Linked DNA regions of Anolis sagrei. The protein of the gene in region 3 purifies or fractionates together with the protein of the main gene of each other region. This does not show direct contact. Links are inferred from orthologs where the notes say so. Each region holds a gene or a part of one and is shown on either strand. Other genes may lie near its edges. The genes, in order: SMC3, WAPL, PDS5A and CDCA5.

Region 1 (7,589 bases), on a different chromosome or scaffold from region 3:
ATGACTTGAAAGCACATAACAACAACAATCCTATCTCATCAGCCAAAAGCAGACCCACATTTCCCATTGAAATGCTAACAAGTTTATATTTGTTAAGATTGTTCTTCATTTTAATTATTGTATTGTTTTTAAGTGATTTTGCACTACAAATAAGATATGTGCAGTGTGCATAAGAATTTATTCATTTTTTTTCAAATATACAGTTTGAGGGACTGTGACCTGGCCCTCTGTTTAAAAAGTTTGTGGACCCCTGATCTAGGGGCACTAACCCATGAAATTATGTAACATTAAAAATAACAACAAATGTGCCAGATAAGAAAAAGCAATCAGATAAGAAAAAGCAATCAGTTTCATTCTGAATAGGAAGAAATATATCAAATGTCAATTTCATCTCTAAAAGTTATACTTAAATGCTGCATAAGCCTTTGTATTACAGGAACTTACCAATGACATTATGCTTTGAACTGAAAGGATCTACTATAGTCTGATCTCTGTAGCTGCGAAATCCTTGGATGATCACCTGAAATAAACACATTTATGTTAAATAAACTTTCATAAATACAATTTATTATCAACTACAGCTTTCAAAAGTACAATGTCTCAAAAAGGATAAGAAGTAAATTTGCTATATTCATTTCTATCATTTCCACAGTACGTACAAAAACAATACAATTACCAGGTACCACGTTGTGATGGTAGCCTGCTTCCTGCACTTTCATTATGCAGCCTTCAAGAACAGGTGAAGCAAAACTATGAGTGTGCAATCTCGTTAAGATTAAATGTTAAATTCGGTTTTTAACAAAATCTTCAGAATGAGATTTCAGCTGTAGTTGAGACAGAAAGTCTTGATATATCAGTGTTTTTAGATTAAAACTCATGATTTTTAACTAAAGCTTCAGAGTTATTTTAATCTTCTAGAAGGGGAAAGCATGGTACAAAAGCATCTATACTGCAGAATTACTGCAATTTGACACCCATTTAACTCGCATGGATCAATGCTCCAGTATTCTAGGATTCATAGTTTGATGAGAAGACTTACAAAGACCTTATAACACTGAAACTCCAATGATTGCATAGCACTGTGCCACAGCTGTTAAAGTGGTGTCGAAATGCATGGGTTATATAGTGGTATATTAACTCTGGATCCTAAGCATTCTGGACAAGAAATACTCTGGCCTCTGGTGCCTTTCACAATGCCCCTATACTCCAGAATCTGATCACAGATTATCCTCTTATCCCAGATTATCTGGCAGTGGAGACTCAGGCCCCTTCCACACATCTGTATAAAATCCACATTGAACTGGATTATATGGCAGTGTGGACTCTGATAATCCAGTTTAAAGCAGATATTGGTTCTGTTGGCTCTGTTGATTTTATTGGTCGCATAATGATTTTAATAACTAATTTAAATGAATGTTAACTTGAGGTTTTATATACATTTATATTTATTTTTTACGTTAGATGTAAATTAATTGACAGGTTATGTTATTATTTAATTTCTGGTTATATTATATTGTTTTTAAATGTTTTTTGCACTACAAATAAGATATGTGCAGTGTGCATAGGAATTCATTTTTTATTATAATCCACTCCTTTGAAGACCAATGTTAACAAATATAAACTTATGAGTGTTTCAATGGGAAGTGTGGGCCTGCTTTTGGCTGATGAGATACGATTGTTGTTATTGTGTGCTTTCAAGTTGTTTCAGACTTAGGTTGACCCTGAGCGAGGGCCGGGTAAATGACCTTGGAGGGTCATATCCGGCCCCTGGGCCTTAGTTTGAGGACCCCTGTCCCAGAATATCAAGGCAGAAAATCCCACATTATCTGCTTTGAACTGGGTTATCTGAGTCCACACTCAGATAATGTGGGATTTTCTGCCTTGATATTCTGGGATATAGGGCTGTGTGGAAGGACCCTGGGTTATCTGAGTCCACACTCGGGGCCCTTCCACAGTCCTATATCCCAGAATACCAAGGCAGAAAATCCTGCAATTATTTGCTTTGAACTGGGTTATCTGGGTCTACACTCAGATAATGTGGGATTTTCTGCCTTGATATTCTAGGATATAGGGCTGTGTGGAAGGCCCCCCAGATAACTGAGATTTTTTGCCTTGATATTCTGAGATATAGGGCTGTGTGGAAGGGCCCCAGATAATGTGGGATTTTCTGCCTTGATATTCTGGGATATAGGGCTGTGTGGAAGGATCCTGGGGGTTATCTAAGTCCACACTCAGGGCCCTTCCACAGTCCTATATCCCAGAACATCAAGGCAGAAAATCCTACAATATCCGCTTTGAATTGGGTTATCTGAGCCCACACTCAGATAATGTGGGAGTTCCTGCCTTGATATTCTGAGATATAGGGCTGTGTGGAAGGGCCCTCAGCCAGCACCAACAAGCATCAGATGAAGCCTAATCTGCAATGCCATATAATGCAGTATGAAACTACGTTATATGGTCAGTGCAGACTCATATAATCGTTTAACTACACCGAACTGCATCGCATGGTAGTGTAGATGAGGCCTGCGTGTCGCCGTCGTCGTCCCACTCCCCTCCCAATGTTCATTACATTTTGGAAACTTTAGGTTATTGTGGGAGATAAAATAAAAGATCAACCAGCCGAGGCCTCAACTTTTCTTGTTTACCACTTCATTTTACCACAGAAAGTAAACAAGGCCCGCCGGTGAGGCTGAATCCCCTGCTGATGCTGTCATTCTACAGAGAACGAGGGCCTCAACTGAGTCTCAGGGCCTGGCTTTCGTCGCCTCAACACCCCCAGCCCCCCTTTTTTTTTTACCCCACCAGTCCCTCGCTTTGCAGCCATGAATTCTTCCCAACCGTCCTTTATTGTTTCCAAAGAAAAAAAAAGCCTCCCCCTCACAACCTGAGGGCCTCCTACCTGCTTGATATACATGGCGGCGGCGAAAAGCTCCCTCCTCCCCGTCACTGCGCCCACCGAGAACAAAATGGCGGCAAAGCCTCCCCCTCCCGTTCGCTGTGGAACGTACCACTCTGCAAAGGAAAAGAGGGGAGGATCGTTGGCGAAAACGCAGCAAAAGCCTCGGAAAGAGGCAGAGGAAACGGGTCAGACCTTCCCAAAAGACGAAGTGGTTGCTGTACTTGTGGTGACTGCCCTTTATTTAAAATCGAAGCTAATAAAGCACCATCTCTGCCTCCCCGTTCGGTAGGATTTTGGTTCGGCCCGGCATGAGCGAAATAGGGCGCCAAAGCCAGTGCGGCCAATAGGAGGGGGAGCCTCAGGGAGGAATAGGCGGCGCGATTGCAGGGAGCGCAGCTGCCGCCAGAGGGCGCTGTTTTGCGACTCGCAGAATAACAACATTTTTTTTGTCGTGTCAGGAGCGACTTGAGAAACTGCAAGTCGCTTCTGGTGTCAGAGAATTGGCCGTCTGCAAGGACGTTCCCCAGGGGACGCCCAGATGAACTGATGTTTTTATCATCCTTGTGGGAGGCTTCTCTCATGTTCCCGCATGAGGAGCTGGAGCTGATAGAGGAAACTCATCCGCCTCCTCCGGATTCGAACCCGCGACCTGTCGGTCTTCAGTCCTGCCAGCACAGGGGTTTAACCACCGGGGGCTCCATACAACAACAACAATAACAACAACAACAACAACAATAATGCATGGATGTGCGCCCTCTGTCAGCTCCAGCTCCCCATGTGGGGATATGAGAGAAGCCTCCCATAAGGACAGTAAAACATCAAAAACATCAGCGCGTCCCCTGGGCAACGTCCTTGCAGACGGCCAATCATCTCAGACCAGAAGCGACTTGCAGTTTCGGATACAAAAAAACAACAACAGTAAGGCAGTTACTGAAAATCCAGTCACTGACCAACATGGTCAGAATCTTCAGCACTGACATCAGTATGGAGTTCCTTCCATAAGTTCCAAAAGAGCCAGAATGGCTTTATTATTATTATTATTATTATTATTATTGCAGCCCAAGAACAAGCCATTAGAACCAGTGCCATCAAAGACAGAATTGAAAAGTCTACCACTGATTCCAAGTGTAGATTCTGCAAGGAAGCAGACGAAACAATGGATCACATCCTCAGCTGCCGCAAGAAGATTGTGCAGACGGACTACAAGCAGAGGCATTACTCAGATGGTCCATAGGAAACTTGTGCCACAAATACCATCTGCCTGCAACAAAGAACTGGTGGGATCACAAGCCTGAAAAAATTACGGAAAATGAACACGTCAAATTACTCTGGGACTTCCGAATTCAGTCTGACAGAGTTTTGGAGCACAATTCTCCTGACCTTACGATCGTGGGAAAAAAACAAGTATGAATCATTGATGTTGCAGTACCAGGTGACAGCAGGATTGACAAGTAGCAACTAGAAAAAGTGACACAATGTAAGGATTTAAAGATCGAACTGCAAAGACTCTGGCACAAACCAGTAAAGGTGGTCCCATTGGTGATCAGCTCACTGGGCGCAGTGCCTAAAGACCTTGACCTGCACTTAAAAACAATTGGCACTGACAAAATTACGATCTGTCAGCTGCAAAAGGCCACCCAATTCAGATCTGCATGCATTATGCGACAATGCATCACACAGTCCTAGACACTTGGGAAGTGTCCGAAGTGTGAACAAAAACAAAAGTCAGCGTAGTGATCTTGTTTGCTGTGTACTATTATGTTATAATAATAATAATAATAATAATAAAAATAATAATAGGGCCCCCTGGTGGCACAGCACATTAAACCGTTGAGCTGCTGAACTTGCTGACTGAAAGGTTGGCGGTTCGAATCCGAGGAGCGGTGTGAGCTCTACTGTTAGGCCCAGCTTATTCCAGTCTAGTAGGTAGATAGGTAAGGTACTCCATGCAGTTATGCCGGCTACATGACCTTGAAGGTGTCTACGGACAACACTGGCTTTGCCTTAGAAATGGAGATGAGCACCAACCCCCCGAAGTCGGACACGATTAGACTTAATTTCAGGGGAAACCTTTACCTTAATAATAATAATAATAACAATAACAATAAACTTTTTTTGTATTTCGTCTATCTTCCTGATGGGACTCAGTTTGAATTCCAACATATATGAAAATACATTAAAACCTAATATCGAATTAAAGCCTAATATCACCTAACAGTGCAGGTGATGCAGAGCATCTTCCCCCCCAAGTATTTGTAGTTCACCAAGGGCCGGAAAATGGATTCTGCTGCTTCCTGACCCAGCACACATAACTGGGTTCCTGTTTCCTCTCTGTGAATTCTCTGGCTTGTGCACTGGACCCTGGCCCCTGATCAGGGAAATGCAGTTCCCCAAAGGACATTGCCCCACTCTCCACCATTTTAGACTCTTTGCGGACCTTTCTGCCCTCACTGATTGACTTGATGTCCTATTATCACGAACTTCCTCTACGAACTCAAGGCCAAGCCGCTTGGGGAGAATGGCCCCCGCCTGTGTGTGTGTGTCCTTGCCAAGCAGATCATACCTCAGGAACTCTGATGAATTGCTTTTGCCAATTGTTGTTGCTTCTAATAAACTTTGCTGGGATGGGGATGGGGATGGGATGGGGACCCCCCTTTATGAAATCTATGAGCTTATGAAAGTTTATGAAGAATGTATATGATATGGAAAAATATGAAATCTATGAAATGTACCCTGACCCTCTCCCCCACCTTTTCTCCCTCTGAACTTTACCCTACTAAAGTATGTGACCTGGGATTACAGTTAAGGAAATCCAATTTCCTTGGAAGAAACTCCATTCATATTTACATTGCATGGACAAAGACTGGCAGATCTATGGCTTTGTTTTCAGAGTCAGACGAACAAAAGCCAGAAATCTGTCAGCCAAAAGGCCCGGAAAAACAGACTGATTAAATCAATCATGGTGTTTTGTGTACGCTCCCCTGTGACAAAGGACTCCCTTCGCCACAGGGTTGAGATCCAGACACCACCCATAGCCACCCTTTTTTTTCCTATACACATCCTTTATCGGAACCCAGGAAATCCCTTGTCTCCCCTTCCGCCTCCCTGCCGTGCGAAGAACAAAAGGTGTTCAATCAGCTGGCGGACGCCTCCAGGCAAATCCGCCCCTCTGCGCTGTCAAGATACGTCCCGCCTCCTGGCCGCTGATTGGACAGTCTCCGGAGGCGCTCCAAGGGCTCTGATTGGCCCCCTGGAAGCGACAGCGGCCGGCGATTGGAGGGAAGGCGGGACCAGCGGCCAAGCCTCCTCCCAGCTGTTCTGGAGCCGGCCAATCAGGACAGAGGGAACTGACAGGAGGCGGGCGGGAGATTCAAACCAGGATTTCTTTGTTTTGCCTGTATAAATATACCTGAAATTCACTGTACTGCATGCTTATAGAGGAAATATCCCTGTAATGCATCCTTTTCAGCTGAATCGCTAAATAAACGCTTCGGTCACTGGATACCTCTTCAGCCTCTGGTGGGATTAATTCTTAATATTTTGCGCTTTGGATTGGCTTTTGCTGGCAGCTCACCAAGGTCAAAGATCCCTTTTGCGATCTCCAGGGATCTTCCCCGCTGGGAAGTCCCTCCCAAAAGAGCTCGATATCACAGGCATAGAGATGCTAAATAGACAAACCATAAAGTGCAATCAGCCTGAAGCCTATAAATATCTGGGCACACTACAGCCAAACAATATCAAACACGGACATGTGAAAAATGTGGTCAGCAAAGAATATGTCCAAAAACCACGATGTAGGGATGCTATACTGTATATGTACAGTATCGCTCCACTTACTCTCCCCCCCCCTCCTCTCTCTTTCTCTTCCTCTCCTCTTTCCCCCTCTCTTCCTCCTTCCCTGCCCATCCCTTTGCTGGAGCCACCCTTCTTCCCCCCCCCCCCCGCTTCCCCACTGGCATGGGGCTCTCACCTGGTCACCCGAGGAAGAGCGACCAGGAAGAAGCCGTGATGGAAGCTGCCTTGGCGGTGGCCTTCTCCACCTCAGAAGAAAGAAGAAGAAGCCCCGGTGGAAGCTGCCTTGGCGTCCCTCTCCGTACCTCTCACCAGCGCTACTTCGGCAAGTGGGGTTTATAGATCTGTGTATATAGTGTTCCCTCAGGACTTGTATTTTAAATTAATTTTTTTTTGGAAAAACCGTGAAACAGTGAGTCCACAGGAAGCAAACTGCAGAGTACTGAGGGAACACTGTATTTTGGAAAAAATACAGGTTCCTCGTATAATTTATTTTGAAAGATTGAGAAATGTTGAAGAACAGAGGTGCCAGAGGACTGGAGAAGAGCAAACATTGTGCCTCTCTTCAAAAGAGGTTGAAAAAAATCCAGGGAACTGCAAACCACTCAGCATGACTGCACTATCAGGAGAAAAAAAATGAATTGATTATAAAGGAGTCTGTTTGCAAGGGTTTGTATGACTCTGCATGATTACTGAGAGCTATCATGGGTTTGTTGAGAGCAAATTTAGCCAAATTAATCATACTCGTTTTGATCTGGTCACTAGTTCACTAGGTGTTAGGAATGCTCTAGAATGATCTAGGTCCCCAGGTGTTTTGGCCTACAACTCCCAGAAATCCCAGCCAGTTTACCAGCTGTAAGGATTTTTGGAAGTTGAAGGCCAAAACATCTGGGGACCC
Region 2 (7,387 bases), on a different chromosome or scaffold from region 3:
GTAGTTGCTGGGATTTATAGTTCACCTCCAATCAAAGAGCATTCTGAAATCCACCAACAACGGAATTGAACCAAATTTGGAACACAGACCTCCCTTGACCAACAGAAAATATGGGAAGGGTTTGCTGGGCATTAACCTTGAGTTTTGGAGTTGTAGTTTACCTACATACAGAAAGCACTGTGGACTCAAACAATGATGGATCTGGACCAAACTTGGCACAAATACTCAATATGTCCAAATGTGAACACTGGTGGAGTTTGGGGAATATAGACCTTGACATTTGGGAGTTGTAGTTGTTGGGATTTATAGTTTACCTCCAATCAGAGTATTATGTTCTCCACCAAGAATAGAATTGGGCCAAACTTCCCACACAGAACCCCCATGACCAACAGAAAATACTATGTTTTCTGATGGTCTTTGGCAACCACTCTGATACTCCCTCGTGACCCCCAGGGGGGTCCCGACCCCCAGGTTGAGAAACACTGCTGTAACATATAATTTTCCTTCATGCAATACTCACTACAGTGCCTGTCAATATGTAAACTCGAGGAATTACGTATATTAATAATTACTATGCAATATTATTTTCCAAACTAAAATATATAAATCCTACAGTCAACAAAGTAGTCCTTGGGGTACAAATAAAGTTAATAATAATAATAATGTGCAGTGTGCATAGGAATTCATTCATGTTTTGTTTTTTTCAAATTATAATCTGGCCCTCCAACAGTTTGAGGGACTGTGACCTGGCCCTCTGTTTAAAAAGTTTGCGGACCCCTGATCTAGATTATCAAATCAGATAAAGTGGATTATATGAGTCTACACTGGTAGTTCAAAGCATCCATACATCTGGATATTGTATGGAAGTAGAAGAGGCCGGAGAGGCTTCCTATAATCTAGATCAGGGGTCCCCAAACTAAGGCCCGGGGGCCGAATGCGGCCCTCCAAGGTCATTTACCTGGCCCTTGCTTAGGGTCAAATGAAGTCTGAAATGACTTGAAAGCACACAACAACAACAACAACCCTATCTCATCAGCCAAAAGCAGGCCCACACTTCCCATTGAAATACTAATCAATTTATATTTGTTTAAATTATTCATTTTAATTATTGTATTATTTTTAAGTGGTTTTTGCATTACAAATATGTGCAGTGGGCACAGGAATTCATTCATGTTTTGTTTTTTTCAAATTATAATCCGGCCTTCCAACAATTTGAGGGACTGTGACCTGGCCCTCTGTTTAAAAAGTTTGAGGACCCCTGATCTAGATTATCAAATCAGATAAAGTGGATTATATGAGTCTACACTGGCATACAATAGGCAGTCCAAAGAAGACAATCTGGATATTGTACGGCAGTGTAGAAGAGGCCGGAGAGGTTTCCTATAATCTAGGTCAGGGGTCCCCAAACTAAGGCCCGGGAAAGGTCATTTACCTGGCCCTTGCTTAGGGTCAATCTAAGTCTGAAATGACTTGAAAGCACACAACAACAATCCTATCTCATCAGCCAAAAGCAGGCCCACACATCCATGCAACCTGGCCCTCTGTTTAAAAAGTTTGTGGACCCCTGATCTAGATTATCAAATCAAATAGTGGATTATATGAGTCTACACTGGCATATAATAGGTAGTTCAAAGCAGACAATCTGGATATTGTATAGCAGTGTAGATGACTCCGGAGAGGTTTCCTATAATCTAGATCAGGGTGAATTGTTCTTCATTTTAATTATTGTATTGTTTTTAAGTGGTTTTTGCATTACAAATATGTGCAGTGGGCATAGGAATTCATTCATTTTTTTTCTTTCAAATTATAATCCGGCCCTCCAACAGTTTGAGGGACTGTGACCTGGCCCTCTGTTTAAAAAGTTTGAGGACCCCTGATCTAGATTATCAAATCAGATAAAGTGGATTATATGAGTCTACACTGGCATATAATAGGTAGTTCAAAGCAGACAATCTGGATATTGTATAGCAGTGTAGATGAGTCCGGAGAGGTTTCCTATAATCTAGATCAGGGGTCCCCAAACTAAGGCCCGGGGGTCGAATGCGGCCCTCCAAGGTCATTTACCTGGCCCTCGCTTAGGGTCAAACAAAGTCTGAAATGACTTGAAAGCACACAACAACAACAATCCTATCTCATCAGCCAAAAGCAGGCCCACACATCCCATTAGAATACTAATCAATTTATATTTGTTAAAATTGTTCTTCATTTTAATTATTGTATTGTTTTAAGTGGTTTTTGCATTACAAATATGTGCAGTGGGCATAGGAATTCATTCATGTTTTGTTTTTCAAATTATAATCCGGCCTTCTAACAGTTTGAGGGATTGTGGCCTGGCCCTCTGTTTAAAAAGTTTGAGGACCCCTGATCTAGATTATCAAATCAGATAAAGTGGATTATATGAGTCTACACTGGTAGTTCAAGGCAGACAATCTGGATATTGTATGGCAGTGTAGAAGAGGCCGGAGAGGCGTCCTAGGCCCGAGCCTTTCATAAGACAGTATTTGTTGGGGGGGGGGGGAGTCTGGGCCTCCCTCTGAGGCCGAGAGAGTGTCGTTTGCGTAAGAGCGTGAAAGACAGTCGTCTCTTGCCTCCCAAAGCAAGGCAAGGCCTGAGGAAGTTGGCTGGGCCTCTCCCCGCTCCTCTGCCTCACAGGACTTACCTCAGCAAGGCCCAGTGACGCGAAGGAGGAAATTATGAGGTTTGTTTTTCAAAAAAGGGAAGAAGTGAGCAAGGAAGGCCGCCTTGAGGAGGAAGAGGAGGAGGAGGAGAGGGCCCGGCCTGGCGCGCACGTCACTCTCGGGGCGCCTCCGCCGCCTTCCCCCTTCCTTGCTCGCTCGCCGTCTTCGGGCGACGCCCCCGGGCCTGGGCTGCTCCTTCTCCGCGTGAAGGCGCCGGCGTCGAGGCCTCCCGGCAGAGTCTGCGGCCTCCTCCTTCGCCGCCTCCTTCGCCGCCGCTTCCTGGGAGCCGCCGGGACGGTGTCGACTACTCCTGCAACAGGGCCCTGGACCATCTCTCCGCCATTGGCCCCCCGCTTTCGCCTGCCTGCCTGCTTTCCTGCCTGCCTTCCTTCCGTCACTGCGCCTCACACACTCGGCCTCGCTCGCCGTCGCCGCCGCGGCCAATCGCAGCCCGCCTTACTCAACCGACGAGCCGGGCCGCAGCGCGCATGCGCCGCCGGCCGTTGGGCGCGCATGCGCAGAACGCGCGGCACAGAAAAAAGTTGATCGGATTTGGTTTCTTCTTCCCTTTCGGAGTCTCTTCTGCTTTATGGCCCTAGTCGCCGCCTTGGCAGCTTCCCTGCCTTTGTATTCTTCCATGTGGGACGTATAGCTTTGATTTATTGTCGAAGGTTTTCATGGCCGGAATCACTGGGTTGTTGTAGGTTTTTTCGGGCTATATGGCCATGTGGCATTTTCTCCTGACGTTTCGCCTGCATCTATGGCAAGCATCCTCACAGGTAGTGAGGTCTGTTGGAACTAGGAAAAAGGGTTTATATATCTGTGGAATGAGACAAAGGACTCTTGTCTGCTGGAGCTAGGTGTGAATGTTTCAACTGACCACCTTGATAAGCATATAATGGCCTGACTGTGCCTAGAGCAAACTTTGGTTGAGAGGTGATTAGATGTTCTTGTTTGTTTCCTCTCTGTTGTTGTGCTGTTGTAATTTTAGAGTTTTTTGATACTAGTAGCCAGATTTTGTTCATTTTCATGGTTTCCTCCTTTCTGTTGAAATTGTCCACATGCTTGTGGTTTTCAATGGCTTCTCTGTGTAGTCTGGCATGGTGGTTGTGAGAGTGGTCCAGCATTTCTGTGTTCTCAAATAATATGCTGTCCGAACGGATCTCCCTCTATGTCCCGCCTCGGAGTTTAAGATCTTCTGGGGAGGCCCTGCTCCTCGTCCCCGCCAGCCTCACTTGTGATAGGGGGGGGGGGGGGGTCGAGAGCAGGGCCTCCCCAGAAGATCTTAAACTCCGAGGCGGGACATAGAGGGAGATCCGTTCGGACAGATACACCGGGCCGGAACCATATAGGGTTTTGTAGGTCAAAACCAGCACTTTGAATTGTGCTCGTATGGGTTTATTCGTGGATTAATTTCGTACCTCTGGCTTCTCTGGTGCCACTTCTAGCCCTTTGTAATGCTAAAAATATTGGTGGCAGCAGTAGCTCTTTGGGGGCTTCATGGCTGCATCATAGTAAACAGAGTACATGTGTGTCTCTTTCATGAAATCCCATATATCTTCTTTAAGAGTCAAAGAGTACATACAGCATTTCAGTATGGCAGATAATACAACCAAACTCTATGAAATTCCTTCTTGAATAAGCAAGGAAGCAACATTCAAAGCCTTGGGCTGTTGTAGGGTTTTTTTGGGCTATATGGCCATGGTCTAGTGGCATTTTCTCCTGATGTTTCGCCTGCATCTATGGCAAGCATCCTCAGAGGTAGTGAGGTCTGTTGGAACCAGGAAAAAGGGTTTATATATCTGTGGAATGACCAGGGTGAGACAAAGGACTCTTGTCTGCTGGAGCTAGATGTGAATGTTTCAACTGACCACCTTGATTAGCATTGATTACCTCCAGAGTAGACTTAATGTTGAGAGGAAACCTTTATCTTTACCTATGCCAGGTTTGGTCCTGTCCTGCAAGAAAGGCTGGATAATAATTAATTGATTAATAAAGAAGCAAGACTCTGAACATTTGGAAATCAACCTTTGCCAACCTATCTCTACTGTTGAAACAAGGATTCCATTACAAGGACATACGTTGCACCTAAACCTTAAGAGAAACATCTTTATTGTAAGAACAGTTTCACAGCGGAAAGCAGGAGGTCTTTAAACAAAGGCATCTTTCAGGAGTGCTTTAAGTGTGTATTTGTGCTTAGCAGAAGACGGTTGGACTAGAATGATGGCCTTTGCAGCCTCCTCCATCTCTGGGCCCTTCCACATAGCCATATAATTCAGAATATCAAGACAGAATAACCCACAATATCTGCTTTGAACTCATTATCTGAGTCCACATTGCCATATATTCAGGGGCAGCTCAACCCCTTACGCAAAGTAAGCATTCGCAGTATAGTTGATTTTGCCCAGGGGCACTCTTGAGGCGTTCTTGGGGGGAAAATAGACCTTGACATATGCAAGTTGTAGTTACTGGGATGTATAGTTCACCTACAATCAAAGAGCATTCTGATCTCCACCAATGATGGGATTGAACCAAATATGGCACAAAGAACTCTCACGGCGAACAGAAAATATATATCAATGATTGGTTGGGGGGAACCCAAAATAATGTTTGCTTACCGTTGAAAATTACCTAGGGCCGCCTCTGCATATACTCCTGTTCAAAGCAAAAAATGTGGGATTTTCTTTATCTGAAAGAAGAAACCATGAACAAAATCTGGCTACCAGTATGAAAAAAACCCTCTAAAATCAGGACAGTAAATAAAGAGCAGCACTCAAAAATCAGGAGAATTCCAGACAAGAATCAATCAAGGCCAGCAAACCTTCCAACAAAGGATCCCCCAGGCAGCAACCAGCCAGGCTTTGAAGCTGCAAGGCCATTAAATGCTGAACAAGGTGGACAATTGCAACATTCACACCTGCCTCAAGCAGACAAGTCTCATCCTGGACATTCCAGAGATATATAAACTCTGTTTGCCTAGTTTCCAGCAGACCTCACAACCTCTGAGGATGCCTGCCATAGATGTGGGTGAAATGTCAGGAGAGAATTATTCTGAAACATGGCCATACACCCTGGAAAACTCAGCAACCCAGTGATTCCGACCATGAAAGCCTTCGACAACATATTTAGTATTCATTCATGCAAACAGATAATTATCATATTCTTATAGATGTTTTACCTGAAAAGGTCACATATGTAGTGCAAATATTTACCACAACCTAAGAAAAAACAGATAAGTGCCTTTCTCCAACTGAATCTTGAAAGAAATTTATCTCTGGAAAATGTATGGAGAATTATGAGTTCATGGCGACTCTTCCCTTGTCCAGTTACAAGTTACCCTGTAACTTGAAATGTATAGGGAGAAATGCAGGCTTGAATGGAAGTGGTGTTAGAAACATCTTCAAATTAACCAAATATTTACATTTAAATAGAAGTGGCTTCAGTCTATATTACCAGGGGATTGGATGTGTGGAATACTGTTGTGTTGTCCTTCACATGACCTGTGGTACTGCCTTTCATGTTTATTGTTTTAATCACCATATCAATGACTCCAATTTCTGGGCTTCCATTCCTGACCTTTTCGTCAAATCCGTCTTTTCTTTGTCCCAAAAGTTTAAAAACTCAAAGGCCTCTTAAACGGGATCATAAGCATATGCACATATGCTTGAAAGTAAGTCTCACTGAGATTGGTGTGGCTTGTTTTCCAGAGTAAAATGTGCTTAGAATAGCATTTCTACCTTTGCATTTTTAAAATAGTCACCTACCTTTGTTACTTGCACTTAAGGCTTGGTGTTTTTTCGGTTCTTCCTTTTTTTGTTCCTGTTGATTCTTGCTTAAACCAAAGTCTATATATATAAAAATGCGCTGTGCATAATGAGTATGTTCTGTAGTTCCTGTGTGCCAAATTTGACTTCGATCAAGTCAAATTTGGTGGGCTTCAGAGTGCTTTCTGGATGTAGGATGAACTACAATTCCCACCCATTGTGGTCAGACTCCCCCAAAACTCCTCCCGTATATTCTGTTTGTCCTGGGGGTTCTGTGTGCCATGTTTGGTCCAGATCCATCATTGATGGGGGGTCACACTGGTCTCTGGAAGTAGGAGCCGATAGGAAATCCGCCGCAAACATACAAACACCGCCACCCACATACATACATAAGTTCACTTTTATTATATACATAGACAGACAGACAGACAGACAGGTGAACAACGTTAGTTAATGTCCTTGCATTTTAACAATTTATTTTGCCTGATCAAAGTCCTTTTCTTGAGAAGTACAGGGTTAGTCAAAATGAATAGGCCAATAAGAAAATTAATTGTAGCCGAATTGGCCTATTCATTTTGACTAACCCTGTACCTTGAATCATACTTTCTGCATTCACTGCTGAACCAGGGCCAGAACTCTTTTCATGTAGTAAAATCTGGATAACCATCATCTTCTCACTTGTGGCTTTACCTCTTATTGCATTGTTGTAGGTTTTTCCGGGCTATATGGCCATGTTCTAGAGGCATTTTCTCCTAACGTTTTGCTTGCATCTATGGCAAGCATCCTCCGAGGTAATAAGGTCTTACTACCTCTGAGGATGCTTGCCATAGATGCAGGCGAAACGTCAGGAGAAAATGCCTCTAGAACATGGCCATATAGCCCGGAAAAACCTACAACAACCCAGTGATTCCGGCCATGAAAGCCTTCGACAATACATTTACCTCT
Region 3 (7,155 bases):
CCTGCAGATCCAGGACCCAAGCACAACAAGAAAAGCAGCAGCAACAAGACCCAAGGCACGAAACCAACACTTTGCCTACAGCAAAGTTCTATCACTCCAGTGCCTTCATTTATCTTACAACTCATCATCCAATGATGAGCTGCCCTCAACCCCATCCTCATCACTATCAGCTGGCTTAGCCTCTACAGCTGAACGCCAATGCCCATCCCTCCAACTCTTCCACCTTTTGTCAAGACTTAGGTCTCCCCACGATTCCATGGTACCACCAGATTGCCAGTCCCTGCCACCAGAAAATCCCTCAAAAATGTCACTGGATGTTGGTTGAGTACATACATTCTGAATCTCCTGAACCTTGATCCAATCCAGTGGTTCCTCTTCATCCCCACTACCTCCAGACCCATCATTCCCAGAAAAGCCCATGAAATCCTCTTCCTCAGTCCCGGATCTTCTTTCTCTGACGCTCCTTGCTCTCGAGTAATCCTTTTAATGCCTCTATTCCCATCTGCATCTCCTTCCTCCTCCTCACTCATTTCACTCTCAGAGAAACCTTCAAATGATTCTTCATCCGTGGGCGACATAAGTATCGCTGCTCCTGGGCACCTCGTTTCCGTCCTCTACCACTGGATAGCCCATGAGGTCTCTTCCAACTCTTTGAATCTATGATTCTAATTATTATTATTATTACTATTATTATTATTTACACTTGCCTCAAACAGACAAGAGTCCTTTCTCCCACCCTGGACACTCCACAGATATATAAAACTTCACTTACCTAGTTTCCAACAAACCTCACAGCCTCTGAGGATGCCTGCCATAGATTGGGTTTATTTATTTATCGTGTCATCAGCAACGATACCATTGTATTACAGTTCTAACAGAGCAAAACAAACACACAGATTAAAAAGAAAAAAACAAAACACAAATTTTGCAAATTTGGTAGTTGGTTAAATGTCCTTTGACCAGTATCTGACCACTTAGAGTGCCTCTGGTGTTGCCACAAGAAGGTCCTCCATTGTGCATGTGGCAGGGCTCGGTGCATTGCAGCAGGTGGTCAGTGGTTTGTTCTTCTCCGCACTCGCATGCCATGGATTCCACCCTGTAGCCCCATTTCTTAAGATTGGCTCTGCATCTCGTGGTGCCAGAGCGCAGTCTGTTCAGCGCCTTCCAAGTCGCCCAGTCTTCTGTGTGCCCAGGGGGGAGTCTCTCATCTGGTATCACCCATGGATTGAGGTGCTGGGTTTGGGCCTGCCACTTTTGGACTCTTGCTTGCTGGGGTGTTCCAGTGAGTGTCTCTGTAGATCTAAGAAAACTATGTCTTGATTTAAGTCGTTGATGTGCTGGCTGATACCCAAGCAGGGGATTAGCTGGAAATGTCTCTGCCTTGGTCCTTTCACTACTGGCTGCTACTTCCCGGCGGATGTCAGGTGGTGCAATTCTGGCTAAGCAGTGTAATTTCTCCAGTGGTGTAGGGCGCAGACACCCTGTGATAATGCGGCATGTCTCATTAAGAGCCACATCTACTGTTCCACACTGGGCATACATACTCAGCAGCAGAGTAGCATAGCGCAAGGGCAGCTGTCTTCACTGTGTCTGGTTGTGATCCCCAGGTTGTGCCAGTCAGCTTTCGTATGATGTTGTTTCTAGCTCCCACTTTTTGCTTGATGTTCAGGCAGTGCTTCTTGTAGGTAAGAGAACGGTCCAGAGTGACTCCCAGGTACTTGGGTGCACTGCAATGCTCCAGTGGGATTCCTTCCCAGGTGATTTTCAGAGCTCGGGATGCTTCTCTGTTCTTGAGATGAAAGGCACATGTCTGTGTTTTAGATGGGTTAGGGATCGGCTGGTTTTCCCTGTAATAGGCAGTGAGAACACCTAGAGCTTCGGAGAGCTTCTGTTCTACCATCTCAAAGCTCCCTGCTTGAGAGGTAATGGCATGATCATCAGCATAGATGAAACTCTCTGTCCCTTCTGGCAGTGGCTGGTCATTTGTGTAGATGTTGAACATGGATGGAGCAAACACGCTCCCCTGAGGCAGGTCGTTCTTCTGTTTCCGCCATCTGCTTCTCTGGCCCTGGAATTCAACAAAAAAGCTCCTGTTTTGTAGCAGGTTTCCTACGAGGCAGGTGAGGTGGTAGTCCTTTGTGATACTATACATTTTTCTCAGGAGGACGCGGTGGTTCACAGTATCATAGGCTGCCGACAGGTCTATGAAGACACCTCCTGTGATCTGCTGCCTTTCAAAACTATCTTCTATGTGCTCAGTCAGGTTCAACACTTGCGATGTGCAGCTTTTGCCTTTTCTGAAGCCAGCTTGCTGTGGGATCAGACAAGGGTCTATTTTTTCTGTAATTCTATGCAAAATAAGTCTCTCCAGAACTTTGTAGAGGTGGCACAGCAGGGAGATTGGTCTGTAGCTTTTGGGGTCATTACGGTCTTTGCCTGGCTTCACGATGGCGATGACTCTTGATTTCCTCCAGATTTTGGGGATCTGACAGGATGCAGTGCAGTTGTTCATCAGCTCCAGCAGCCAGGGCCTTGCTTTTGGACCAAAGTTCTTGATTTGTTCCATCCGTAGATCATCCAGGCCACCTGCTTTGCCATTCTTACATTTGTTGAGAGCCATGTCGAATTCAGTAGATGTAAAAGGTTCATGGAGGTTGTTGTTCTCAATCTCTGGTTGTCTGGCTATTGTTTTCTTTCCTACTTTGGTGGCAAAGTTGGGTTTCCCATTCTTCAGGAGTTGGTGTGCTATCTGATCTGCCTTTATGTTGGCATGGGTATTAGTTTGTGAGGGGTTGTTGCTCAGCCGTCTCAGCAGCCTCCACGCCTTCTGGCTGCTCCTGCCCATGTCGACCTCTGTGACCAGCTTGATCCACTGTTCTTTCTTGGCTTCAGAGATGGAGGAAACAATGCTCTGCGCTGCCTGAAGAGTCTGCTCACTAAATGGGGGGGGGGGGGGGACATGAGAGAAGCCTCCTCGCAGGATTGCAAGACATCCAGGCGTCCCCTGGGCAACGTCTTCGTAGACGGCCGATTCTCTCGATCCAGAAGCAACCAGAGATCCGCCTAGTCAAAGCCATGGTATTCCCTGTAGTCACCTACGGATGTGAGAGCTGAACCTTAGGGAAGGCTGAGCGAAGGAAAATAGATGCTTTTGAGCTGTGGTGTTGGAGGAAAGTTCTGAGAGTGCCTTGGACTGCGAGAAGATCCAACCAGTCCATCCTCCAGGAAATAAAGCCTGACTGCTCATTGGAGGGAAGGATACTAGAGACAAAGTTGAAGTACTTTGGCCACATCATGAGGAGACAGGAAAGCTTAGAGAAGACAATTATGCTGGGGAAAGTGGAAGGCAAAAGGAAGAGGGGCCGACCAAGGACAAGATGGATGGATGGCATCCTTGAAGTGAGTGGACTGACCTTGAAGGAGCTGGGGATGGTGACGACCGACAGGGAGCTCTGGCATGGACTGGTCCATGAAGTCACAAAGAGTTGGAAACGACTGAACGAATGAACAACAACAAAAATAAAGACTGGCCACTGTCTATGAATTCAGAATATATGGAGAAGACAATGATGCTGGGGAAAGTGGAAGGCAAAAGGAAGAGGGGCCGACCAAGGGCAAGATGGATAGATGGCATCCTTGAAGTGACTGGACTGACCTTGAAGGAGCTGGGGGTGGTGACGGCCGACAGGGAGCTCTGGCGTGGGCTGGTCCATGAGGTCACGAAGAGTCGGAGACGACTGAACGAATGAACAACAACAACCCCTCGTAAAACCTCACTTACCTAGTTTCCAACAAGCCTCACAACCTCTGAGGATGCCTGCCATAGATTGGGTGAAACGTCAGGAGAGAATGCTACTGGGACAGAGCCATGAAGCCCGGAAAACTCACAGAAAACCCAAAGATTTGTTTGTTACTGTGGCTTCCCTCCATCTTGGCGCCAAATGAGGAGTGCCCAACCGGCAGCAGCAGCATCCTCAAAGAGGAGCTCAGCCAGCCCGCCTGGGCCTTTAAAAGCCTCCGTTCCCAGAATGCTCCGGGGCGGGCCTTTTTAAAAAGGGCGGAGGCGGCTCCCGGAAGACTCCCCTTTTGCTGAGGTTCCCCGGCCGGCCGAGAGGTGGCGCTGTTTCCCCGCCGAGAGGCGCACACGAGCAGCCGAGGGTGGGAGGGAGGCAGCCAGCCACGGGGGAAGAAGGAAGGGAGGACTCGCCAGGGTGCAAGGGAGCCCTCGCCACCCCCGCCGCCACCGCCGCCGCCGCCGCGTCCTTCTTGAGAGGCGCCACCGCAGGCCGCTCAATGCTGCACCTTCCGGAGCTGCAGGAGGTGGGCAGGCAGGGGGGTAGAAGGGGGAGGGGGGTCGGAAGTGGTCCCTATTTCCCCCTCCCCCCTTCCTTCGCCATCGTGGCGGATTTTGTGAGGGAAACAGAAATATTTCCCCCTCAAGAATCAACTTGAGGGGGAAAAGGAGGAGGAAGGGTCCTGAGGTGGAAGTTGAGGGAAAGCCCCGCCAAGTGGAGGGAGGGCCTTCCCAGCCTCCCTCAGAATCCCCTTCGTTTGCCCCTTCCTCCTCCTCCTCCTCCTCCTGAGGGTTTCTGGGACTGCTCATAGTTTTGAGGCCTAGCAGTTTAGGCCTCGCCGCCCGCTCCAGGCAATCAAGCAATCCAGCAAGCAAACGCCTGCCTCAGAGTGGCTGGGCTTCCCCGCCTCTCCTTTCCGCATCTTTCCTGAGAGGAAGCAAGAAGGCCCCCCTCTCTTATTTTCTAATTTTCGGGGGAGGGGATTCATTGTGATTGATTGGACTGCCAAACTCATGGCCTCGACGTGTGGGCCTAGCCGAGGCGGGAGGGAGGGAAGGAAGGGAGGGAGGCCTCGGGTCTCGCCGCTGGGCCTCCCTGCTTCTTTCTTTTCTTTTTTTCCCAATCGTGGGTTGGAAATCTGGGGGGGAAGGGTGGCAAGGTTTGGAAAGTCGCTCCTCTCCTGCTGAACTTTTGTTTTCTGACCGATAGAGGCCGGTAGAGGACTGTGGCGAGGAGAACTTCCTCACCGGCAGCGCCAGGATGGAGTTCCCACCCGCCCAACCAAAGCCTCCTGCCGATGGCAAGATCATCTTCTATCCTCCGGGAGTCAAAGAGATCACGGACAAAATTACCAACGATGAAGTGGTCAAGCGACTCAAGGTAAGTCCTGGTTTTCATATGACTTTAGTTGTTGTTGATATCTGCCTTCAAGTCTTTTCAGTTCATGGTGACCCCTTAGGTCAGTGGTTCTCAACCAGATGTTTGGGCCTTCAACTCTCAGAAATCCTAACAGCTGGTAAACTGGCTGGGATTTCTGGGAGCTGTAAACTAAAACACCTGGGGACACACAGGTCGAGAAGGAGCCCCCCCCCCCCCCCGTGGCGCAGTGGCAGCAGGACTGAAGACCGACAGGTCACAGGTTCGAAGGCGCGCTTGGTGGGGACGTGGGACAGGGCCTTCTCCGTAGTGGCCCCCCAACTCTGGAACACCCTCCCCAAAGACCTTAGACAGGCCCCTTCATTGGCTATTTTCAGAAAGAACTTAAAAACCTGGCTTCCTCCACTACCGAGTCCCACAAGCACTTTACCAGAACCAATGATTGTTGCACATCGCACGTGCCCTGGAAGCCCTATATACACCTCCTGTCAAATCAGCACTTTTAATCCTTGTACCCACCTTTTGGCCCGGCCCAGATTTATTGTGTTTTAATGTACTGTGCTTGTTGTTTATTTTGCTTTAATTTGTTTTAATTGTTTGATTTGCTTGATTGTATTGCTATGTTGTATTGTTGTGGCCTCGGCCTGTTGTAAGCCGCATCGAATCCTCTGGGAGATGCTAGCGGGGTACAAATAAAGTTTAATAATAATAATAATAATAATCCAGGGAGAGGCGGATGAGCTCCCTCTATCAGCTCCAGCTCCTCATGCGGGGACATGAGAGAAGCCTCCCACTAGGATGATAAAACATCAAATCATCCGGGCGTCCCCTGGGCAACGTCCTTGCAGATGGCCAATTCTCTCACACCAGAAGCGACTTGCAGTTTCTCAGGTTGCTCCTGACACAACAACAACAAAAAAAACACCCTTAGGTTTCAGATTTAAGAATCATTGATCTGAACCAATGAAGATTGGTTCCAATGAGCTTGTTGGCTTCATAGTGTGATACCTTGAAAATTGGCATAAGCATCTAGGCTATGATGTAAAAATGGTACAAAAAAACCCCACCCTTAGGTCAGTGGTTCTCAACCCGTGGGTCTCCAGATGTTTTGGCCTTAATAATAATAATAATAATAATAATAATAATAAAACTTTATTTATACCCCGCCACCATCTCCCCAAGGGGACTCGGAACGGCTTATATGAGGCCAAGCCCGACAACACATCAATAGAACAAAAAACAGTAAGCAAAAACAATACAATTAATATAACTCCCAGAAATCCTAACAGCTGGTAAACTGGCTGGGATTTCTGGGAGCTGTAGGCTAAAACACCTGGGGACGCACAGGTCGAGAACCACTGCCTTAGAATCAGGTCAGTGGTTCTCAACCTGTAGGTCCCCAAGTGTTTTGGCCTACAACTCCCAGAAATCCCAGCCTGTTTACCAACTGTTAGGATTTCTGGGAGTGGAAGGCCAAAAAATCTGGGGACCCACAGGTTGAGAACCACTGCCTTAGGTGAACCTTTCTCAGGTTGTGTTGTCAAAGGCTTTCATGGCCAGAATCACTGGGTTGCTATGAGTTTTCTGGGCTGTATGGCCTCGAAGGCTTAGCCCCATGTAAATTGGCCCAAGTCCCTTCGGGGAGATGGAGGTGGGGTACAAAAATAAAGTAGTTGTTATTATGTGAAACACAACAAGATGAGTCCACGGCAGACACTCTGCTGACTGTTGTATTGGATCACATGTCAGACACTTCCCTAGTGTCTAGGACTGTGTGATGTATCGGCGAATAATGCGTGCAGATCCCAGTAAGGTGGCCTTCTGCAGCTGGTAATTTTGTCAGTGCTGATTGTGTTTAAGTGCAGGCCAAGGTCTTTAGGCACTGCACCCAGTGTGCCGAACACCACTGGGACCACCTTTACTGGTTTGTGCCAGAGTCTTTGCAGTTCGATTTTTAAATCCTCATATCGAGTCAGCTTTTCTA
Region 4 (7,152 bases), on a different chromosome or scaffold from region 3:
TCTCTCCAGCTTTCTCGCCTTCTTTCCCTCCTTCCTTCGCTCCCTCGTTCCTTCCTTCCTTTCTCTCCTTCCTTCCTTTTCTAGCTTTCTTTCCTTCCCCCTTTTCTTATCCTTCCCCTTTCTCTCCTTTCTTCCTTCGTTCCCTCTTTCCTTCCTTCCTTCGCTCTTTGCTTTCATCCTTCCTTCTCTTTCTTTCCTTCTCTCCTGCTTTCTCTTCTTTTTTCCCTCCTTCCTTGGCTCCCTCTTTCCTTCCTTTTTTTCCCTTTCTTTTTCTCCTTCCTTCACTCCCTCTTTCCTTCCTTTTTTTTCTTTCCCTCCTTCCTTCTCTACCTCTTTCCTGCTTTCCTTCTCTCTTTCCTTTCTTTCCCTCCCTCTTTCTCTTCTTTTTTTCTTTCCTTCCTTTTCTAGCTTTCTTTCCTTCCCCTTTCTCTCCTTTCTTCCTTCTGTCTCTTTCCTTCCCTCCTTCGCTCTTTGCTTTCATCCTTCCTTCTCTCTTTCTTTCCTTCTCTCCCGCTTTCTCTTCTTTCCCTCCTTCCTTCGCTCTCTCTCTTTCCTTCCTTTTTTTCTTTCTTTCCCTCCTTCCTTCTCTACATCTTTCCTTCTTTCCTTCTCTCTTTCCTTCTTTCTTTCCCTCCCTCTTTCTCTTCTTTCTTTCTCTCCTTCCTTCCCTCCCTCTTCCCTTTTTTCTGTACTGTCATTTAGTTTTTTGGGGTTTTAAAGTCCTTTTCCACTGACTGATGGTCACTCGTTGGTCTCTTAGGGATATAGTGTCCAAATTTTGTGTCCATTCATCCAGTGGTTTTTGAGTTATGTCAATCCCACAAACGAACACTGCATTTTTATTTATATAGATTGTACTATAACAATATACTGTAATATTATTAGTAATATTACATTCAATATAAAATATATAATCATAATATCATATTATTAGTAGTAGTAGTACTATATTGTATTACATTATAATATTATCAATATTATAAGTATAAACAATATATTATTTTCCCACAAACAAACATTGCATTTTTATTTATATAGATAGAATACTATAACAATATAGTGTAATATTATTAAGAATATTCCATTTAATATAAAATATATAATTATAATATATTATTAGTAGTAGTACTATATTGTATTGCATTATAATATTATCAACATTATATTATATTATAAGCACAGTGCAGGAGTCAAGATGGCCCCTCTCTTTGGTTCTGGAGGGGGGAGGCTCCCAACTGATGACACCCGGACCTTTGGGGTGACCCCCCCCCCCCCGGACCGGACCTAGCTCAAGCACAGTGGCACGAAACGCAAGAGCTGACCATAGCAGACGAGGCGGACGGTCTCTTTGGTGGAGAGAAGGGTGTTGCAGAGCCGACAGTTGGGGTTGTAGTCGCTATCCTGGAGCCACTGCAAGTAAGACTGGACAATGCACTGCAACGCAAGGGAGGGAGGAAAAAGAAAAGCACCATTATAATAATAATAATAATTATAATTATCATCATCATCATCATCATCATCATCATATAATCATAAGCCTCTATTACACTGTTCAACAGAGAAAAAGTTTTGGGCCTGAAAATAGTTGTTCTTATATGATTTTGGGGTGCTGAAAACAAAAATGACATTTAAAAATGTATATTGGCTCTAGTTTTTATGAAATAAGCAATCACGTGACCACGTATGGTTGAAAAAATGCATGTTGCGACTTACACTATGGAAGATTCTAGAATACTCTAGAAAGTTTGATGACACAGTATGAGTGCCGTGTGCAAAAGCCAGAAAGCCCTCTATAAGGCCAGACTTTTGAACAGTGAGGGTCAGTCAGTTGAAGACTGAGACAGTATTGTTAAACATCGTTTTCCATTGTTCTTTTCACTGTCGTTATGCCTCGCATGTGTGTAAATAAAGCCCTATGGAAAAAAGACATCAAGGCCAATGGACTCCGTCAATGCTGTCAGACTCCTGCTGGAGCATTGCAAGAGGGAATCCTCTCCTTGACTACAAAAGAAAAGTCAAGAGAAGCAAACAGGATAGAAACTAAAGTCACGATTAAAGCGACATTTCAACTTTCAGACTTTTCAACTGCATTAGGCCTACTAATAGAGTTCCTTGCTGCACAAACATAAACAATAGACTAATTAAATAAATATTTCTCATGTATAAACTATTGGCAATATAATTGGACTAAAATTTAGTAAACATTCACGTTTTATATACATGCAGTAAGGTTAGGCGCAGTATCATAATATTAACGAATTACCTATTGAGGAGAAAATTGAAATAGCTGTTGCATAAAAACCAGAGCCAATGAACACATTTAATTATTATATTTGAATTCAGCATGTTAAATTAATTAAGAAACGGCACATTTCGTTTCCTTAACTAAGAAAAACTGAAAATTTGTAGAACAGTGTTATTAGAGGCATTCCCCTTGGTGCACTCAGCAGCAGCAACAACAGCAACTTTACCTTGTTGTGATTGGCGACAATGCAGTGCTCGCAGACGTTGACGCGGTGCTCGAAGCAGAAGAGGTTGGTCACCTTCCGCTTGGGGCATTTGCACAGCCCCATGGCAGAGCCTGCAGCAGGAGAAAGAAAAAAGGAATCAATTATATCTATATATATATATACATACATACATATATATACATACACACACACATCCGTCAGTGTTCTGTGTATTTTGATATGTGCATTTTGTAGGAATACATTTTAATATTTGCATTTTAATATAATAATATTTTTAGCTATTGAGCCATAAGGGGTAATAGCTATAATTATTCATATAATAATAATAATATGCACGTGTGAATTTAAGCCAAAGAGCCGGTGTTGTCCGTACATACTATCAAAGTCATGTGGCCACTGGCATGACTGTATGGACTGCTGTTACCTTCCTGCCGGAGCGGAACCTACTGTTCTACTCGCATTTGCATGTTTTCAAACTGCTAGGTTGGCAGAAGCTGGGGCTAACAGCAGGAGCTCACCACACTACCCGGATTTGAACCACTGACCTTTTGGTCAGCAAGTTCAGCAGATCTATATAGGAGTAACATCAATAATATATACATTAATATATATTATATATTATATATACATATTAACAACAATAATATACTAATACTCTCTGATGAGCCACTGCCATGATTCCACATCAAGGGACTATTGGCATTTAAAGCGGTATCAACCCGCATTAACTCCCCGGTGTGTCTTATTTTCCCAGGCCTCCCCCTCCTCACCTTCCTCTTCAGCCTCCTTCCGCCTTCTGCCACGTCTCTTCCGGGAAAGTCGCGCGCCGATGGCGTCACAACCCAGCCGTCGCTTCAGGAAAAAAGGAAACTAAGGAGGTCTAGTCTCGCGAGATGTCGAGACCTCCCGCGGGATTCAGTCTGCCTCTCCTAAAATGGCGCCGGGTGGTTTGTGTATTAGTAGCTGAATGGGAAAAGAGAAGCGACAACCAACTCTCGCGGGATGTTGAGACTTCTCGCGGGATTTGGTTTGCCTCTCTTAAAATGGCGTCGGGTGGTTTGTGCATTAGTAGCTGAATGGGAAAAAAGAAGCGACAACCAACCCAACTCTCGCGGGATGTGGGGACTTCTCGCGGGATTTGGTTTGCCTCTCCTAAAATGGCGCCGGGTAGTTTGTGTATTAGTAGCTTAAATGGGAAAAGAGAAGCGACATCCAACTCTCGCGGGATGGTTAGACTTCTCACGGGATTTGGTTTGCCTCTCCTAAAATGGCGCCGGGTGTTTTTTGTATTAAAAGAGAAGCGACATCCAACTCTCGCGGGATGTGGAGACTTCTCGCGGGATTTGGTTTGCCTCTCCAAAAATGGCGCCGGGTGTTTTTTTTGTATTAAAAGAGAAGCGACGACCAACTCTCGCGGGATGTGGAGACTTCTCGCGGGATTTGGTTTGCCTCTCCTAAAATGGCGTCGGGTGTTTTTTGTATTAAAAGGGAAGCGACGGCCAACTCTCGCGGGATGCTGAGATTTCTCGCGGGATTTGGTTTGCCTCTCCTAAAATGGCGCCGGCTCTGACTATTGTTTTCCTTCTCTTCCACTGTGGTGACGTCACTTCCTGCGTGGAGGTGGCGGGCGATTTCAAAGCCGGAAGAGAGAAGGAAGGAAGGAAGGAAAGCAGGAGGCGATGGCGGGAGGAGGCCGCGGCCTGCCAAGGCGGGCTCGCTCCGCAGGAGAGGCCCGGGCAGGTAGGCCGCAAGCCTGGGAAACAGTATTATCCACTTGGGCCTTGTCTCCAGGTGTTTTGGACTACAAATCCCACAATTCCTCACAGTCTCAGGCCCTGAAAGGGCCTGAGGCTGTGAGGAATTGTGAGATTTGTAGTCCAAAACACCTGGAGACAAGGCCCAAGTTGATCCATGGCTACTCCAGCAGCACTCCGTCCTGACATTTCTCCCACATCTCAGAAGGTTGTGGTTGTTGGCCACCCTGATGAGCACCAAATGGCCTTGCAGCTTCAAAGCCTGGCTGCTTCCTGCCTGAGGGACATCCTAGATATATTTATACCTGTGGAATGATGTCCAGGGTAGGAGAAAGAACTCTTGTCTGCTGGAGGCAAGTCTGAATGTTGTCGTTGGCCAGCTTGATGAGCACTGAATGGCCTTGCAGCTTCAAAGCCTGGCTGCTTCCTGCCATGAGGGAATCATAGATAGGTTTATACCTGTGGAATGATGTCCATGGTGGGAGAAAGAACTCTTGGCTGCTGGAGGCAAGTCTGAATATTGTCATTGGCCAGCTTGATTAACATCGAATGGACTTGCAGCTTCAAAGCCTGGCTGCTTCCTGCCTGAGGGAATCCTAGATATATTTATACCTGTGGAATGATACCCAGGGTGGGAGAAAGAACTCTTGTGTGCTGGAGGCAAGTGTGAATGTTGTCGTTGGCCAGCTTGATTAGCACTAAATGGCCTTGCAGCTTCAAAGCCTGGCTGCTTCCTGCCTTGGAGGGTGGAGGGGGGGGTCCCATTTTCCAGCCTGGAGTTCCCCTGCTGTCTAGTCTTAACCCTCTTCCTTTTTGTTTCAGGCGTCGTTTCCTCTCCTCCAAGGCGAAGGTCCGAACGCACGGCAGCGGCTTCCACGGCGGCTCTGTCTTTATCCGAAAGGAAGGCATGTTTGCGGCCCGGCGGGGCAGACGTCGGTTCGGTGCGTAATGTAAATACCTGTGGAATCTTCAAGCTGGAAGGGACCCCCATCCAGTCCAACCATCTAAGATAGACATCCTAGAGTTTTGGGGAGGCTTCTAAGAGAGATATACATAGATAGATATAGGATTCTAAAGTTGGAAGGGGCACCCAAGGGCCATCCAGTCCAACCCTCTAAGAAATAGGTAGATACATACATACATACATACATACATGGATTGATTGATTGATTCCTAGTGTGGGAAGGGACCCCAAAGGCTATCTAAGAAATAGATAAATAGATACATAGATAGATAGATAGATAGATAGATAGATAGAGATTCATTGGATGGATGAATATGATATAGATTAGATAGATGGACAGACATAATAATAATAATAATAATATAATAATAATAATAAGATAGAGATACATTGGATGGATAGATATGGTATAGATTAGATAGACATAATAATAATAATAATAATAATAAGCTAGAGATTCATTGGATGGATAGATATGATATAGATTAGATAGATAGACATAATAATAATAATGGTAGAGATTCATTGGATGGATAGATATGGTATAGATTAGATAGACATAATAATAATAATAATAATAATAATAATAATAATAATAATAATAATAGAGATTCATTGGATGGATAGATAAGATATAGATTATATAGACAGACATAATAATAATAATAAGGTAGGTAGAGATTCATTGGATGGATAAATATAATATAGATGAGATAGATAGACAGAAATAATAATAATAATATAATAATAATAAGATAGAGATTCATTGGATGGATAGATAAGATATAGATTAGATAGATAGACATAATAATAATAATATAGATAGAGATTCATTGGATGGATAGATATGGTATAGATTAGATAGACATAATAATAATAATAATAATAATAATAAATGGATAGAGATAATATAGATTAGATAGATAGACATAATAATAATCTTTATTTAATACCCCACCACCATCTCCCCAATGGGGACTCGGGGCGGCTTACATGAGGCCAAGCCCAACAGCATATTACAATAAAATAAAACCAAAACACAATAAAATATATACAACGTATGAGTTTAAAAAAAAGCAATAAAGCAAAATAATACACAATAAAATAAAATAACAATGAGCGGACCGCATGTGCAAGACATGGATTGATAGGTGGAGAAACTGAAAGGTAGATAGATAAAATCCTAGTTGGAAGGGACCCCCAAAGGCCATCCAGTCCAACCCTCTAGGACATAGATAGATAGATAGATAGAGATATTGTTTCATTATCCAGAATACATAGCAGCTCACTTTGGAGTTTTTGCAATTTCCCGGCAGCCGCCTGCACCGCTCCAGGCGAAGAAGCCCATCATCACTCTGAGGAAGATTGTGCCGCGATCGAACCGGCAGGTCAGTCAGGCTTTATCAATTTGGCTTTATCAATTCCTATCATCTTTATCTATTATCTCTACCTGTCAATCTGTCCTATCTATCATCTCCACCTGTCAATTATCTATATCTATCTATCGCTCTATCTGTCTGTCTCATTTTGGCCTTTCTTTTTTTGCTCCAGGTCAAAGAGACGGCCATCACGCCCCGACGGAGCCCAAGGGTCAGTCATTATTATCAGAATTAGTATTATTATTGCTATTAATGTTTATTTCTACCTTGCTTTTTCTCTCCACGTAAGAGACTCAAAGCAACCATGTGTTATTTTTAGTATTAGATATTATTATGATATTTATTTATTTATCCCCTGCTTTTTCTCTCCACAAATGAGACTCAAAGCAGCTATGCATCTATTATCAGCATTACAATGTATTATTATTATTATTATTATATTACTATTGGTATAATAAATATTATGTTTATTTATAGTCAAACCCACTATGTACACTATATACCAATAATAATAATAATAATAATAATAATAATAGTAATAGTAGTAATAATAATAATAGGGTTGTTGTGGGTTTTCTGGGCTG

The links.
Region 1: the proteins of PDS5A (region 3) and SMC3 purify together in Homo sapiens (affinity purification with western blotting; 8 studies listed by BioGRID and IntAct, with this or other methods). This does not show direct contact. The link is inferred for Anolis sagrei from reciprocal best matches to the Homo sapiens genes PDS5A and SMC3.
Region 2: the proteins of PDS5A (region 3) and WAPL purify together in Homo sapiens (affinity purification with mass spectrometry; 6 studies listed by BioGRID and IntAct, with this or other methods). This does not show direct contact. The link is inferred for Anolis sagrei from reciprocal best matches to the Homo sapiens genes PDS5A and WAPL.
Region 4: the proteins of PDS5A (region 3) and CDCA5 purify together in Homo sapiens (affinity purification with mass spectrometry; 4 studies listed by BioGRID and IntAct, with this or other methods). This does not show direct contact. The link is inferred for Anolis sagrei from reciprocal best matches to the Homo sapiens genes PDS5A and CDCA5.

The regions. Positions count from the first base shown.
Region 1 is NC_090023.1:209,666,196-209,673,784, forward strand, and holds the start of SMC3 (structural maintenance of chromosomes protein 3), read right to left. Parts: upstream 3,005-7,589; 5' UTR 2,915-3,004; coding exon 2,900-2,914; intron 521-2,899; coding exon 445-520; intron 1-444. UniProt on the Homo sapiens protein: Central component of cohesin, a complex required for chromosome cohesion during the cell cycle. The cohesin complex may form a large proteinaceous ring within which sister chromatids can be trapped.
Region 2 is NC_090023.1:160,376,816-160,384,202, reverse strand, and holds the start of WAPL (wings apart-like protein homolog), read right to left. Parts: upstream 3,138-7,387; 5' UTR 2,660-3,137; intron 1-2,659. UniProt on the Homo sapiens protein: Regulator of sister chromatid cohesion in mitosis which negatively regulates cohesin association with chromatin. Involved in both sister chromatid cohesion during interphase and sister-chromatid resolution during early stages of mitosis.
Region 3 is NC_090025.1:80,314,997-80,322,151, forward strand, and holds the start of PDS5A (sister chromatid cohesion protein PDS5 homolog A), read left to right. Parts: upstream 1-4,124; 5' UTR 4,125-4,293; coding exon 4,294-4,320; intron 4,321-5,003; coding exon 5,004-5,174; intron 5,175-7,155. UniProt on the Homo sapiens protein: Probable regulator of sister chromatid cohesion in mitosis which may stabilize cohesin complex association with chromatin. May couple sister chromatid cohesion during mitosis to DNA replication.
Region 4 is NC_090032.1:22,246,182-22,253,333, reverse strand, and holds the start of CDCA5 (sororin), read left to right. Parts: upstream 1-4,100; 5' UTR 4,101-4,150; coding exon 4,151-4,211; intron 4,212-5,047; coding exon 5,048-5,166; intron 5,167-6,505; coding exon 6,506-6,577; intron 6,578-6,740; coding exon 6,741-6,779; intron 6,780-7,152. Other genes in the region: ZFPL1 (zinc finger protein-like 1), read right to left, coding at 1,323-1,434, 2,472-2,573. UniProt on the Homo sapiens protein: Regulator of sister chromatid cohesion in mitosis stabilizing cohesin complex association with chromatin. May antagonize the action of WAPL which stimulates cohesin dissociation from chromatin.